Caenorhabditis elegans: one gene and its partners. The protein of the gene in region 2 interacts with the protein of the main gene of each other region in a biochemical or structural test. Each region holds a gene or a part of one and is shown on either strand. Other genes may lie near its edges.

Evidence for each region. The genes of interacting proteins can lie anywhere in the genome.
Region 1: the proteins of baf-1 (region 2) and lmn-1 form a complex in vitro, tested with the Caenorhabditis elegans proteins (one study listed by BioGRID).
Region 3: the proteins of baf-1 (region 2) and lem-2 interact in far-western blotting, tested with the Caenorhabditis elegans proteins (one study listed by BioGRID).

Annotation. Positions count from the first base shown.
Region 1 is NC_003279.8:8,761,179-8,766,146, reverse strand, and holds lmn-1 (Lamin-1), read right to left. Parts: upstream 3,107-4,968; 5' UTR 3,092-3,106; coding exon 2,994-3,091; intron 2,905-2,993; coding exon 2,820-2,904; intron 2,772-2,819; coding exon 2,658-2,771; intron 2,503-2,657; coding exon 2,269-2,502; intron 2,217-2,268; coding exon 1,176-2,216; intron 1,092-1,175; coding exon 963-1,091; 3' UTR 516-962; downstream 1-515. UniProt on the Caenorhabditis elegans protein: Major component of the nuclear lamina, a fibrous layer on the nucleoplasmic side of the inner nuclear membrane. Provides a framework for the nuclear envelope and probably also interacts with chromatin.
Region 2 is NC_003281.10:9,465,698-9,468,600, reverse strand, and holds baf-1 (Barrier-to-autointegration factor 1), read right to left. Parts: upstream 1,138-2,903; 5' UTR 1,133-1,137; coding exon 1,010-1,132; intron 955-1,009; coding exon 808-954; 3' UTR 543-807; downstream 1-542. Other genes in the region: tag-342 (transcription initiation factor TFIID subunit 13 family protein), read right to left, coding at 35-206, 366-444; B0464.9 (putative protein phosphatase methylesterase 1), read right to left, coding at 1,539-1,676, 1,722-2,256, 2,306-2,415, 2,463-2,702, 2,757-2,828. UniProt on the Caenorhabditis elegans protein: DNA-binding protein which plays an essential role in nuclear envelope formation. Required for normal chromosome segregation during mitosis. Associates with the nuclear lamina via its interaction with LEM domain containing proteins emr-1 and lem-2.
Region 3 is NC_003280.10:14,061,753-14,067,161, forward strand, and holds lem-2 (LEM protein 2), read left to right. Parts: upstream 1-1,697; 5' UTR 1,698-1,702; coding exon 1,703-1,843; intron 1,844-1,899; coding exon 1,900-2,923; intron 2,924-3,768; coding exon 3,769-4,106; 3' UTR 4,107-4,894; downstream 4,895-5,409. Other genes in the region: W01G7.4 (putative RNA polymerase II nuclear localization protein SLC7A6OS), read left to right, coding at 657-726. UniProt on the Caenorhabditis elegans protein: Nuclear lamina-associated inner nuclear membrane protein that is involved in cell division, nuclear structure organization, maintenance of nuclear envelope integrity and nuclear envelope reformation after mitosis.

The sequences.
Region 1 (4,968 bases), on a different chromosome or scaffold from region 2:
TATTCGATCAGTAACCTCAGTTTATTTCTCATTTATCAGTTTTACTGTATGTCGGAATGAGATACCGTAACAATTCTCTTTGATGATTTCCCATAAAAATGTCCATCTCATTTTACATTTCGACAATTGGACAACGCCAGCAAACTAATCGCAAATGTTTGACTTTTCCACAGCCGCTTTGACAAAAGGGGTGTGAAAAAGGCGTATTAATTCTGAGATTTTACGAGTTTTCGAATCGAGGCTTGTTTAGATTTACAGTTTTTGAACTAAACGGGCTTATTTTTGTCAAGAAATTCGAACCAATTACCGTATTCAATACGTTCTCCTCTATTATTGTGTGATGCAATGACCTCACTTAACCGACTGTCATGTGCTCATTTGAGCTCAATAGTGAATAGATTCGAAAAGAAAAACAGTTGGCTTAATCGGTACTTGCATATCCTAATTATATGTCATAACCATCTTAGAAATGTATGGAATAAACCTAAAAAAATAGACGATAGACGAGTTGTAAAGAAAGAAAAGAAATATTTCATGTTTTTGAAGTTAAATAAACGAAATACACTTTGAAATTTTAATGAGCGACACCGATCGGTAAGTTGGAAGAAACATCATTGGAAGACAGGGAGTTTGATTGATGCTTTTGTTGCAAATGGTTAAAAACGAGCTATTTTACATTTTGACGGTGAGCTCAATGAATTCAAAAAAATGGAAATTGGATCTAGTCTTAGGGAAAGGTGTGTTCTTGGAAAGAGGGCAGTGAAATTTCGAGATTTCCTTAAAACAAAATTATTGCCATATTCTAGTATATTAACAACAAGAACACGGTTAAAACGTAGGAGGGACAGAGAAAAAGAAGAGGATCAGTGTAACTCTCGAGGACAACACAACAAGAAGGAATATTAGGAAGAGATAGATGTAAAAATGAGGTCCAAATGGATTGATGTAATATCGACTCTCAATTACATGATGGAACAACGATCGGCTGGGTCCGATGGATCCGATGATTCGCTGAATTCAACGGTGATAGAAGAAACAGTGTCTCCTTCACTATCCTCAAGACGAGCTGATGGGTTATCTCCAATTGGCCACTGAAAATTGTAATTACAATGAACATTTTTTGTTTCTTCTATTCATGAAAGTAAGACAGAAATATTTTAAAATAATTGACCAACCTGTTGCTTCTTCATAACGTAGACTTCTGGTGGGTGGTGAACGGCACCAGCATCCGCAGACCAAACGGTGGCGCTAGCATGTGGAGCGAGCTTCATACGAGATGAAAATTGGAAGGAGGCTTCTTTGTTTCCAGCTTTGACCACCAACTTGTATCCTCCGATGGATTGTTCTTCTTCAGAGTTGTTTGCAACACGGACCCACTTTCCTTCCTCATCAACCTCGTCGATTCCAACTGGGCCAACAGTCTCTTTGTTGAGTTTGGAGCGACGGTTGAGATAATCAATGTCTTGGTCCTCTCCATTTACATCGACAACGCGACGACGCTTCACTCCGCGCTGAGCGCTTGCTCCTCCGGATGAAAACGAGACGTGATGAACTGAAGTGTTTTGTGGCGCCTCCTGAGTAAGATTGAGACGCTCCTCCTCACCCTCAAGGAGAGCTTGGTAGGTCTTGAGTTCGGCGTCCAATTGGATTTTAACATCAAGAAGATCGTGGAACTCGCTCATCATGCGCTCGATCTCTTGATTAAGTTCAGCAATTCGAGCATCCTTGTCGTCGAGCTTCTCTTGGAACGATCTCTTCAGAGTGTCGAGCTCTGAACGAAGACGTTCGATGAGCGAAGCATTTCCACTGCTTGATGTCTCCAAGTCACGAACACGGGCACGAAGATGGATTGCTTCGGATACAGCCTCCTCTTGGCGTTCACGAGCAGCATTGAGCTTGTTTTTGTAGGCATCTTCGAAAGCTGTTTTGTTTTGATGCAAATTGTTCTTGAACTGAGCACGCATCTCTTCGATTTGATCTTGAAGCTTAGATTGATACTCATCATTAATCTGCTTGGCGTAGGTTGTCATGTCGACCTGTCTCTTGTGACGAACTTCTTCAAGTTCTCCCTTGTGCTGTTGAAGAGCAAAAGCGAGATCTTCTTCCAGAGCCTTGATTTTATTGTTGGCGGCTGTTCGGAGAAGAGTTTCATCTTCAACGGCTTTCTTGAGTCCTTCTACGGTGTCACGAAGAGTGATGTTCTGCTTTTTGAGATCCTGAAAACAACAAAATTGAACATTTACTTTTGATAAAATTAAAATTTCTTACATCATTCTCCACCACCAATTTATCGTTGCGTGCCTGCAACGTCTTCTGTTTTGCTTGACTTTGATCAGCAATAGATTGGGCATGGAGGGCTTGTTCCTCAGCTCCAGCGAGTTCTCTCTCAAGTTTTTCGACTTGTGGCTTCAACTTCTTTACTTCAACCTTTGCAGCGTCATACTCGATCCTGTATTTTGCGAGCTCATCTTGAGCCGAATCGAGGGCACGACGGAGACGAGCCTGAAAATACAAATAATCTATATTCCAACACTTATCATTCGTCCAAAACGAGAGCTTATATTTGCATTGTTACTTTACCGCGGCGAGAATAATAAGACCACCGCATCAGTTTCCCACAGAACACCTTTGGCGATCAGAATATAAACAAAGTGTACCTTTTCCGCCTCGAAGCGATCGGCCAAGTTTGACTTCTCTTTCTTTTCAACAACTTCGATGTCGCGAATTTGAACCTGGAGTCTGTTGTTCTCTTGCTCCAATTGACGAACTTTCTGAAAAGTGTACTTTCAAATATGAATACTTTCCAAATTAAAACTCACGTCGATGTAAGTGGCAAGACGACTGTTGAGTGAAGTCAAATGATCTTTCTCTTGAAGACGTGAAGTTTCTAGAAGCGTTGAGCCACTGAAAAGCATTTCATCGAGTTTTTTTTTAGATAACACAAGAAATGCGTTTATGAGTGCAGGAACTAGAGAAGCAAAATAAAAACTCACAATGAATCGTCGCCTCCTCCATTGTTGCTTAGCGACGAATTCGCTGAGCGCTCTAGCGTAACAATACGAGAACTACGAGTACCTTTACGAGATGACATTTTTCTCGCTGCTTTCTGAAGAGTTAATTATATTGGATTTAGTTTCAGAAATAGACAAAGAGAGATGTAAGAGAAGAGAGGAAACGTCATAGGCGCCACACGAACGTGACTCAACATTTTGATATTTCTTGTGATAAAATTTTTATACAACAAAAGTTTTCTGTCTCAAAAGAAGTGTGGCAAACATGCGGACACGGCCGTTGTGTATACCACTTCGGAAAGCGTGTGTTTGTCGAAAAATCTGGCGCTGTTAGGTTATTTGCGAGTTACGGCGCGCCAAGTGACCTCAAAATCGGCAGATGGCAGTATTCCACATAGATGTGTGTTGTTTCGTTTTTTAAATGTTTCAACAGAAAGAAATATAGTAGAGAAATAAGGAACATTTGTGAGAGTGACGTAAACAAAAGCATAAACATAGTCAGTAAGTAGCGTTGAATTCAAACATTAGGCAACTCGGCAAAGAACTACAATTGTCAAGGTATACTCAACTAAGATTTACCTCGTTTCAATAGTTTTTTGAAACTCTCGTGAATAAGAATGCTTTAGCAGGGCGTTATCACCTCGCCTTCAAAAATCATCTGCGCACTTCCACAAATTGCCGATAGAACTAGGCAGATGGGACTGAAATGATTAGAGAAAAAGAGAGAAAAGGGAATTTCTCGCATACTTGTTTGGTTTTGATTGACCGTCCATGTCGCGTCAATTTGAAAGTAACAAAATTTCGAAAATTTAGGGAGAATTTCGAAATTCGATCAATCAAAACTTTCGGACTACTACAAAAGAGAAATGACCTGATAAACTATAAGATAGGATATCAAATTACACAAATTAGTGTAAAAAAGTTGCATGAGAGGTGATATGTAGGAGTTTCGAGGGTTCAAAAACGATGAAAAACGCTCGATCTTGTTTCGAAGGGCAATGGCCCAGGCCAATGCTCTCTCTTTAGTCGCGCGAGTGAGCGCTGCGTACCCCTTCATCTCTGATCTCTCCCGTTTCGCGCACTATTTTCAAGTTTTTCTTTCGTTTTTTATGCTCACGGTCCCAATGACTAGAGAAGTAGAGAAGCAGGAAAGACGTGTGCATATGGTAAACAACATACATATACACAACTTGGCAACATGCCAGTACAGGGTTAAATAGAACGAATAATGGAGAGGCATGATGAGAGTATTAGAGAAGTGGTCAAACATCTGAAATTTTGAGGTTTTGCCGCTTTTTTATATGGATAGTGTAAATTTTGAAACTCGGCGATTAACAATAAACATGTACCATTGAAAGACATATTCAGAGCCAGATGAAGGAAGCGAGAAATCATAAGCAGTCTTGTGTGAGAGAAGACAATGTCGTTCTTCTTTGGTGTTTGACACAGAATGAATGAATTCTAGAGAAGGAGGCTGAGAAGAGAAGGAAACAACATCTGGAAAGAGCACTAGAGCGTCGACGCACAGAGACAAAGGGCAATAAATCAATGGGAGAGTGTCATTTTGGCGCGTTGACAGTTTTTATCTCATTTGATGTGACCATGTGGTAGAATATTAGTATAGCACGAAAATTAGAAGCTAAATTTCTATTATGAAGGCGAGATTAGCCGCGAGAGAGAAGTTTGGTGAAATGAAAAGAATACGAAATGAAAGAGTAGGAAAACAATTTTCTCTAGACACCTGCATCTCTAAAACACATTTGATCCCTAAAAAGATTGAAATGAAAAAACAAGAGAATCGATTAAATGTGAGAGGAACTTGGGCAAAACATGTCTCTTGGTAATATGCAGATTAACAATTGAGTATATAAAATTAGGGCTGTACAACCGGACGTCCGGTCGTCCGAACCGGACGCACATGCGTCCGGTTGGGGGTAGCTATCCACGACGGCCGACA
Region 2 (2,903 bases):
TTTGAATTATTTCGGAAAAAAAAAATCTGCTTACTTATTATCATAAACCTCTATAACATCGTTAATAAAGAGAACCAACTCGTTTTTCAGTATATTCACAACGAAATCTTCATTTTCAGAAAGTGGATTTTCGTCGTCTCCCGAAGTGAACATCAAACTCGTCACAACACTTCGAATCGATGGTTCAAGCTCATTTGAGTCATCTACTGAAAAAATAAATTCCGTGTGAATATTGTAACAAATCCGAAACTTTTTTGGAAACACACATTTGAAAATGTATTTTTCAGTATATTTTTTGAAAAAAAAAATTAATTTTTAACTTCGATAATTGTCGAATTGCCGCCAACCCGTGTAAAAATGCTCACATTTTATCTCCTGATCCAATGTTGGGCGAGCTTTTTCTGTGGTCTGTACCTTCTTTTTCACAGCCCTTTTCGGAGGCATCTGGAAATCACCATAGAATAGAAAATATTGTTTTTATTCCAAGTAAACTTTCGAACGACAACTTTCGTAATAAAAAACTTAGAAACACTCTTCAGGATCGTAGAAAATATTTTATTTGGAGGGAGAAAAATCGCAAAATTAAAGTCAAAAACAAAACAAGAACCGTAGTCCAAGACCACACGACAAGGGGGAAAACTTGGAAGTATGAGAAATATTTCAGAAACAGATTAATTTGAAATGGGGCATAGTCGCAAAGCGGAAAACGACTACACTGGAACAAATGGTGTTTTTCGAAGTGCAAATATGGCCATTGATGATTATAGAGGAGAATCAAATCGATGCTTAGCAGAAATATTGAGCAGTTTACATGAACTGATCTGCCCACTCGTTCAAACAATTGAACGCCGTCTTCGCGTGATTTGCAGTCACTCCAGCCGTCTCTTTCAGCCATTCGATAAACAAATCCTCGTCTTTCTTCAGAAGGAGATACTGTCCGAACAGTACGTAGGCCTGAAATTCAAATTTTAACATTGATCGAAAATTTGAGAAAAAAAAATCTACATACTTTATCGAAGCCTGCATCGGTGAGCTTGGTGCCATATGTTGGCCCGATCCCGGCGATGCATGTGACTTCTTTGTCGCCCATTGGCTCTCCGACGAACTCACGATGCTTAACAGAAGTCGACATGGTTTCTGAAACACAAAATAATTACATTCTTGAATTTGAAAATATTTTCGAAAATCGTAGTAAAAAGATAGTTGCGAAATAAAATAAAACTGGCAAGAATAGATAGGAAAATAGACAACGCTCCCTTTTAAACGAAACGCTTGGCGGCCACAGTTCAGCGGAGCGCGTTTGCATTCTGTCTGCGTCTCTCGATTTGCGCACTCTTTCACGAATACTTCTTTTTGACTGTAATTTTTTGGCATCTGCCTCTCCTCTAAAATAATCGATTCATTCGTATGTCGCTGACATTTATTATTCCCAAGAACTAAAAAGACGGGAAATTTAATCGATAATCTTTTCATATAAAATATTTTTTTCTTAACTTGTATAGAAATGTTGTGAAAATATTGGAAAACAAAATGAGCAATTATTGGTGATGACGTTTTCTGTATTCGAGAATCGCTGGATCTGGTGGTGATGCAAGGGCTGAGAATTTCGGTTGGGCAATTCTATGGCGGCAAGCGAATCTTCCGACTTCATCTGCAAGATTTTGTGGGCTATCTTCCTGCAAGACAATTTATATAAATTATTAATTGAGTATAACATTTACCTGAACACAATGTCCAACTTTTGGTAACACACAAGTCTGAAACTTTCCCTGCATTTGACCAATTGTGAGATCCCTGTCCAGCCGATCAACGCCCGCTAGAACAAGCATCTTCGGAACGGAACATCCCAAAAATTCTTTGGATAATCCTTCAAACCATCCTTTCCAGTACTGTTCTGTTGTTGTTAAATCAATTCGCCAAGTGTACTCGTGTTCCGATACTTCTCTAATTTGAGACGGCATTGAGACCCGTGCAGCTGTGGGATTCCTCGCTGTACCCGAAGAAAGGCACCAGTGAATGGCTTTTTCGATAGAAGGAAATGAAGAAGGCCTTGAATGTAAAAAATGAACCATTCCTCCAAGTGCTTCCATAGCGGAACCTTCGACAACATCAATGACAATGAGTGCAGCGACTTTTGAAGAAATCATCTTTGCATTCAATGTATGAATGGCCAATGCACCACCCATACTGTGTCCAACAATGCATACTGGTGAATCGTCTTCGCCGAAAATGTTCTTGAAGATTGCTCCAATATCTCTACAATATGTCGATAGAAGTTACAAAACTTATCAAAGCGAAACCTCACTTTATTTGGGTTTCTTTCGAAAGATCGTGCTCATCAGAACATTTAGTGTCGCCGTGTCCTCTTAAATCAGGTGCAACAACTCTGCATGATATTAAAGTTGCCAATTCTTTCTGAACAGAACCATTAATGACTGACACTAGAATAGAACAAAACATACCGCAAAACACGCCCATGTGAGGCCTGAATAACCTCCACCGTGAAGCAAATAGAAAATTGGACCTTCATTTCCCTTTATGTACACATTGAAAACATCTCCATCAATGTTTGCGTCCTTCTTTTCATCAAAAAAATCTGACCACGGTAGTTCAGACATTTCTCGTTTCTTTCCAGAAGTTGATGTGCTCGGAACTGGTGGTGGCCTTCCATGAGTGACCGCTTGACGAAGAAGATCATTTTGCTGAAATTGATATTTAATAAAACATCATCTTGTTAATTTTCACTATTAATGTACCCTGTGAGGAGTTGTGACATGTGACGTTTCCGATTGAAGATCCGGAAGAGTGTCTAATTTATCGTCGGACATGGTGATCTGTAAATTAATATATTTAAATATTTAAGACAATTAAATAGAAAGCTATATTTATTAAAATTGAGCCAA
Region 3 (5,409 bases), on a different chromosome or scaffold from region 2:
TCTCTGGAAAAAAAAGCGGCTTTGATGTATTTTTCCATAATTTGTAGTTGAAACCTGAAAATTTAGCTGAAATTATCTATTTTTCACTGTAAATTTCTGGAAAATCGTCTCTAAAAATCCTATTTCTCCACTAAAATCGCTCATTTCTCTGGAAAAAATGCGGCTTTGATGTAGTTTTTCCATTAAAGTTCTCAAATTTCAGCTAAATGTAGTGAATTTGTGGTTGAAACCTGAAAATTTTTAGTTGAAATTAGCTATTTCTCCCTGTCAATTTCTTAAAAATCGGCTAAAAATTCAATTTTCCCACTAAAATAGCTCATTTCTCTGGAAATAATGCGGTTTTGATCTAGTTTTTCCATTAAATTGCGCAAATTTCAACTGATTTTGCCAATTTTGATGCTAAAAATTGAAAATTTACATGTGAAAGTTTGAAAATTCGGCCACAAAACCCCGGTTTTCCTCCAATTTTTTGAAAATTCCGACTAAAATCGCTTATTTTTACTAACTTTCAAGTAATTTTCATCAATTTAATTATTAAAAACTTGAAAATTAGCTATTTCAACCTGAAAAATTCTGAAAAGTACAACTTTTTGGTGATAAAATGTGGCGGTTTTCAATTTTTAGATGGAAATTCTGAAAATTCTATCATTTTTCAGCATGGACCTGAACGACGAACGCTACGAAGCATTTTATGAGGGTGACGAGACTGACGAAGACGCCGATTAATACTGTTTTTCGCCTTTTTTTTGTTTTTTCAGTGTTCAAGCTTACTTATCAGTAACTCACACACACACATATTTTCAATTTTTCATTCATTTTCATTCATTCATTCACAACTCTGAAATTCGTATCATGAAGACCTTATTTGTGCTATTTCTCGCCTTTTTTCTGCTTGTTGAAGCTTCTTCGGAAAGCGGAAAACGCGACGTTTTTCACAATATTGAGAACTTTTTCAAGTTCCTTTGCGTCGTTTTTCAAGTTTCTCAGGCGTCGGTACAACGTGAGAAATCGAGAAATACCTCGGAAAGCACAAAGAAATTTCAGAAAACGACCGAAATCACGAGAAATCGAATCTTCCAGGCTGATTCATAGCATTGCAAAGCTGAATTACTTGGCTTTCAGCTCATCGGGCAACTGCACTGAGCTTAAATAATTTTTTTTGTTGTAATTTTTAAAAATTTTTCATTCAATAAAAGGTTTTTACTCAATTTTACTGAGCAAAATTTATCGATTTTTTTAAAAATTTGATGAATTTACCCTGAATATTCAAGGAAAAACCTGAAAAATCGAGACTCGCAGAGGATTTCCTCCGCGGAAATTCCGAATATCAGAATTTATTTTCGAGAGACACCACGAACTTGCGACACCACGAAGTTTTTGAAGAAACAGAATCCGCAGGCAAAGTTTTTTGTTTTAGCACATTTTAGGTTTATTTTGGTTTTATTAAAAATTAAAATAACAATTTCTTTTTTAAAAGTTTAGTTTTTTAGAAGTAAATCTTAATTTCCGGTGAGATATTCTGTAGTTTTTGCGTCCATGGTGGTGTTCATCCCGCACCGCCTCCTCGCAAGCGCGCTCCACTGACATTTCCCGCCGCATTTGGTTCAAATTTCACAACCTTCGAAAATTGACGATTTCCTTCGTTTTTCTTCATTTTTTCGCGTTCTTATAAGATTTTTTAATTATTTTTTACTTTCAGAGAATGGTCGACGTTGAGAAAATGTCGGATGCAGAGCTCCGCGCCGAGTTGAACGTTCGCGGGGCGAATGTTGGCCCGGTAACTGGAACGACTCGTTCGCTGTACGAGAAGAAGCTGAAGAAGTTGCTTTCCGGTGGAGCAAAGGTATTTTAAAAGGATTTAGAATACTTTAGATTTTTTTTTTATAATTAAATTTTCAGACTCCTGCTCGTCCTACCGTCGCCAAACCAGCACCAAAACCAACTCCAAAATCCGCTCCAGCTCCAAAATCCCCAAAATCGCCGCCGGCCAGACGCTCAATTCCACGTGCTGCCGCGACCGCCGCCAATAGCACGATAAATTCCACGTTTAATCGATCGGAAATCGAGGAAATGAGCGATTCGGACGATGATATGCGAGACGACGACGATGACGATGAGGAGATTCTCTCGCCGAAATCCAAGCAATCTTCGTTCAGAAGCGCCAACTCAACGGCGAGCAGTGTTGGACGCGGCCGCCCGGTTTCTTCGACGCCTAACAAGAGACTTTCTCCAGTTTACAAGCCATCTCCAGTCCCAAAGAATACTCCAAGAACTACTTCATCATCAAGCAAAACCACTATCAACACAACTACTACTCGCATTCCATCAACTCCCCGGAGGATTACCTCAGTGCCCGGGTTGATCACAGACTTCACGCCAAGCTTCTCCACATTCGGAAGCGATCGCCCCGGCGCTACACCGCCAAGAAAATCGATTTACACGTCGAAAGTGTCCAAAGTTCTTCACGACTTGGGAAACACTACCGGAGAAGAGGATGATGATGACGAGTTTGAAGGTCAAGAGACGAGTAGAATCATCTACAAGACAGAAGAACCCTCGCGGCGGGGCATTGTGAAGAACGCGTGGAACAAGGTGCTCGGCTATGGTTTCGATGCGTCCAAGAATCCAGGAGACAGCTATGATCTTCGCGCCGGTGCCTCCAGAATCCGTGTGCAGAAGAATCCGAGAACCGGGAAGGTGACTGTGAAGCAGACGAATATTTTCAACGAGGCGATTTATTTCGCGCTCTATGTGATTTTAATTTTGTTCGTCGTGCTTGGAATCGCCTACGCGCTGACAACAACGCATCGCCCGAAAACTGCGGATTTCTCGGGTTATTGGGGAGTTTTGAAGGCGGCCGGCCGAGATTCGCTCAATTTCTTCTACAATTACGCGATTCTTCCAGTCGTTTCACTGGGGATTTGTAAGTTTTGCAGTTCACCACTGCAACTTTTTCCTCACGAGGGACGAGGAAAAGTGGTTTCTAGGCCAAGGCCGAGGGGCCGACAAGTTTCAGCGGCCATTTATCTTGCTTTGCTTTCCGCCTGTTTTCCTTCGTTTTTCACAGTTTTTTCCCGTTTTTTCTTATTAAAACTGATGAATAAATATTTTTTGCAGATGCTAAAATAATTTCCAGATGAAAAAATATGTATTCAGTCGGCAAGTAGTGGTGAAAGTTGTCAATGTAATATGATGGATTACGGGAATACAAAACCTAAACTTTTTCTGAAACATGATACATATGATGCTTAGATGCTGAAATTACCTGATTTTCATAACGAGACCGCTGAAAAAGTTTTGAGGTTTTCAAAATTCAACTTTTTGTGCGAAAATCTCGACTTTTTCACCAAAAAAGTTGAATTTTGGAAACCTCAAAACTTTTTCAGCGGTCTCGTTATGAAAATCAGGTAGTCTCAGCATTTAAGCAGCATATGTATCATGTTTCAGAAAAAGTTTAGGTTTTGTATTCCCGTAATCCATCATTTTACATTGCCCACGTTCACCGCTGCTTGCCCACTGAATACATGATTTTTTTTACTTGGAAATTGTTTTAGCATCTGCAAAAAATATTTATTTATCAGTCTTGATAAGAAAAAACGGGAAAAATCGGTGAAAAACAAAAGAAAACAGGCGGAAAACAAAGCAACATAAATAACCGCTGAAACTTGTCGGCCCCTCGACCATGGCCTAGAAACCACTTTTCCTCGTCCCTCGTGAGGAAAAAGTTGCAGTGTCGGTATTGCAATTTTCTAAGAAAAATAATTTCAGTCGTCGTTCTCGGAGCCGGAATCTACTTTGGACACCGCAAATACAAGGAGGCCAAGGAGCAGGAAGAGGCGAAGCTCTACGAGCTCATCGAGCGCATCACCGAGCTCATCCGCGAGTCCTCAATTGACGGCGATCCGTACGTCTCTCAGCCACACGTCCGCGATGTCCTCTTCCCGCCGGCAAAGAGACGCTCGGCTGAGCTGGCTCGCTGGGAGCAAGCGGTCAAGTTCATCGACACCAATGAGTCTCGCGTCGCTACCGATGTTCTTGTGCTTCCGTCTGGAAATGAGTGTGCCGTGTGGAAGTGGATCGGAAATCAGTCTCAGAAGAGATGGTAGATCATTGTTTTGCTGTATAATTTTTCGATTTTTTAACTCAATTTTTCATTAAAGGTGGAGTAGCGCTAGTGGGGAAATTTCTTTAAAACATGCCTAAGGTATCACAATGACCGAATATCATGATTAAAAAATTATAAAATTAAAAAATGTTTTCTAAATTTTAGGTATATGATTTCTTTTGAAAATTGAAAAAATCTCAGTTTTTACCTACTTCCTATTTGAATTACCACCAATTGGATTTGTTCGATGGAGCGCGCTTGCACGTTTTTAAATTTATTTATTTTATTTTTTGTTATTTTCCACCGATTTTTAATGTTTTCGATGGATTTTTGCTCGAGTTTTAGAGAAAAAGTCAAAATAAATGCAAACAGGCGTAAATCAGTTAAATTAATTAATTCAGGTTCGAAATCGTTTAAAAGCGTTACTTTTTCATTTTAACGCCTGTCATCAGCGTGCCTTTTAATCGAAAATTTGCATTTATTTTAACTTTTTTTTTTCTAAAATTCGAGCAAAAATACACCGAAAATAATAAAAATCGGTGAAAAATAACAAAATATGAAATAAATGAATTTAAAAACGTGCAACAATCGCGCTCCATCGAACAAATTCAATTGGCGGAAATTCAAATAGGAATTAGGCAAAAACTGAGATTTTTCCAATTTTCAAAAAAAATCATATAAAATTTAGAAAATTTTTTTGAATTTTTAAATCATGATATTCGGTCATTGTGGTACAATAGGCATGTTTTAAAGCAATTTCCCCACTAGCGCTACTCCACCTTTAATCCCCCCCCCCCCCCCCCCCAAAAAATTCGAATACTGATGAAATCTGTCCTATTTATTTATTTTATCTTTTATTTTTTTTTTTGTATTTTTCACCGCATTTCTTGCAAAGTTCACAACAATAAACTCATTCACCGAAGGCTCCCTGTAGGCAAAAAAGGGCCTTTAAAGGTAAAAACCGCCTTATATATCTCAAAAAAAAGACCTTCCGCCTAACCGTCTGCGCTCTCTCTCTTCCATGAGATATCTCTCGCGTCGTCTTCAATTTTTCCTCCGCGCGTATTTCCATTAGAAAACGCGATTTTTACAGTTTTTCGTTGAAAAAATGCAAAAAATTGATCGGATTTTCAAATTCACCCATGAAATTTGAATTTTCTAATTGAAAATGTTGAATTTTCACGACGATTTTCCAGCTAAAAATGCACATTTTTAACGTTTTTCTCAGCAAATTTTTAATTTTCCCAATTTTTATCGGCATTTCGCCATATTTCAACACAAAATTGCGCAATTTAATCACATTT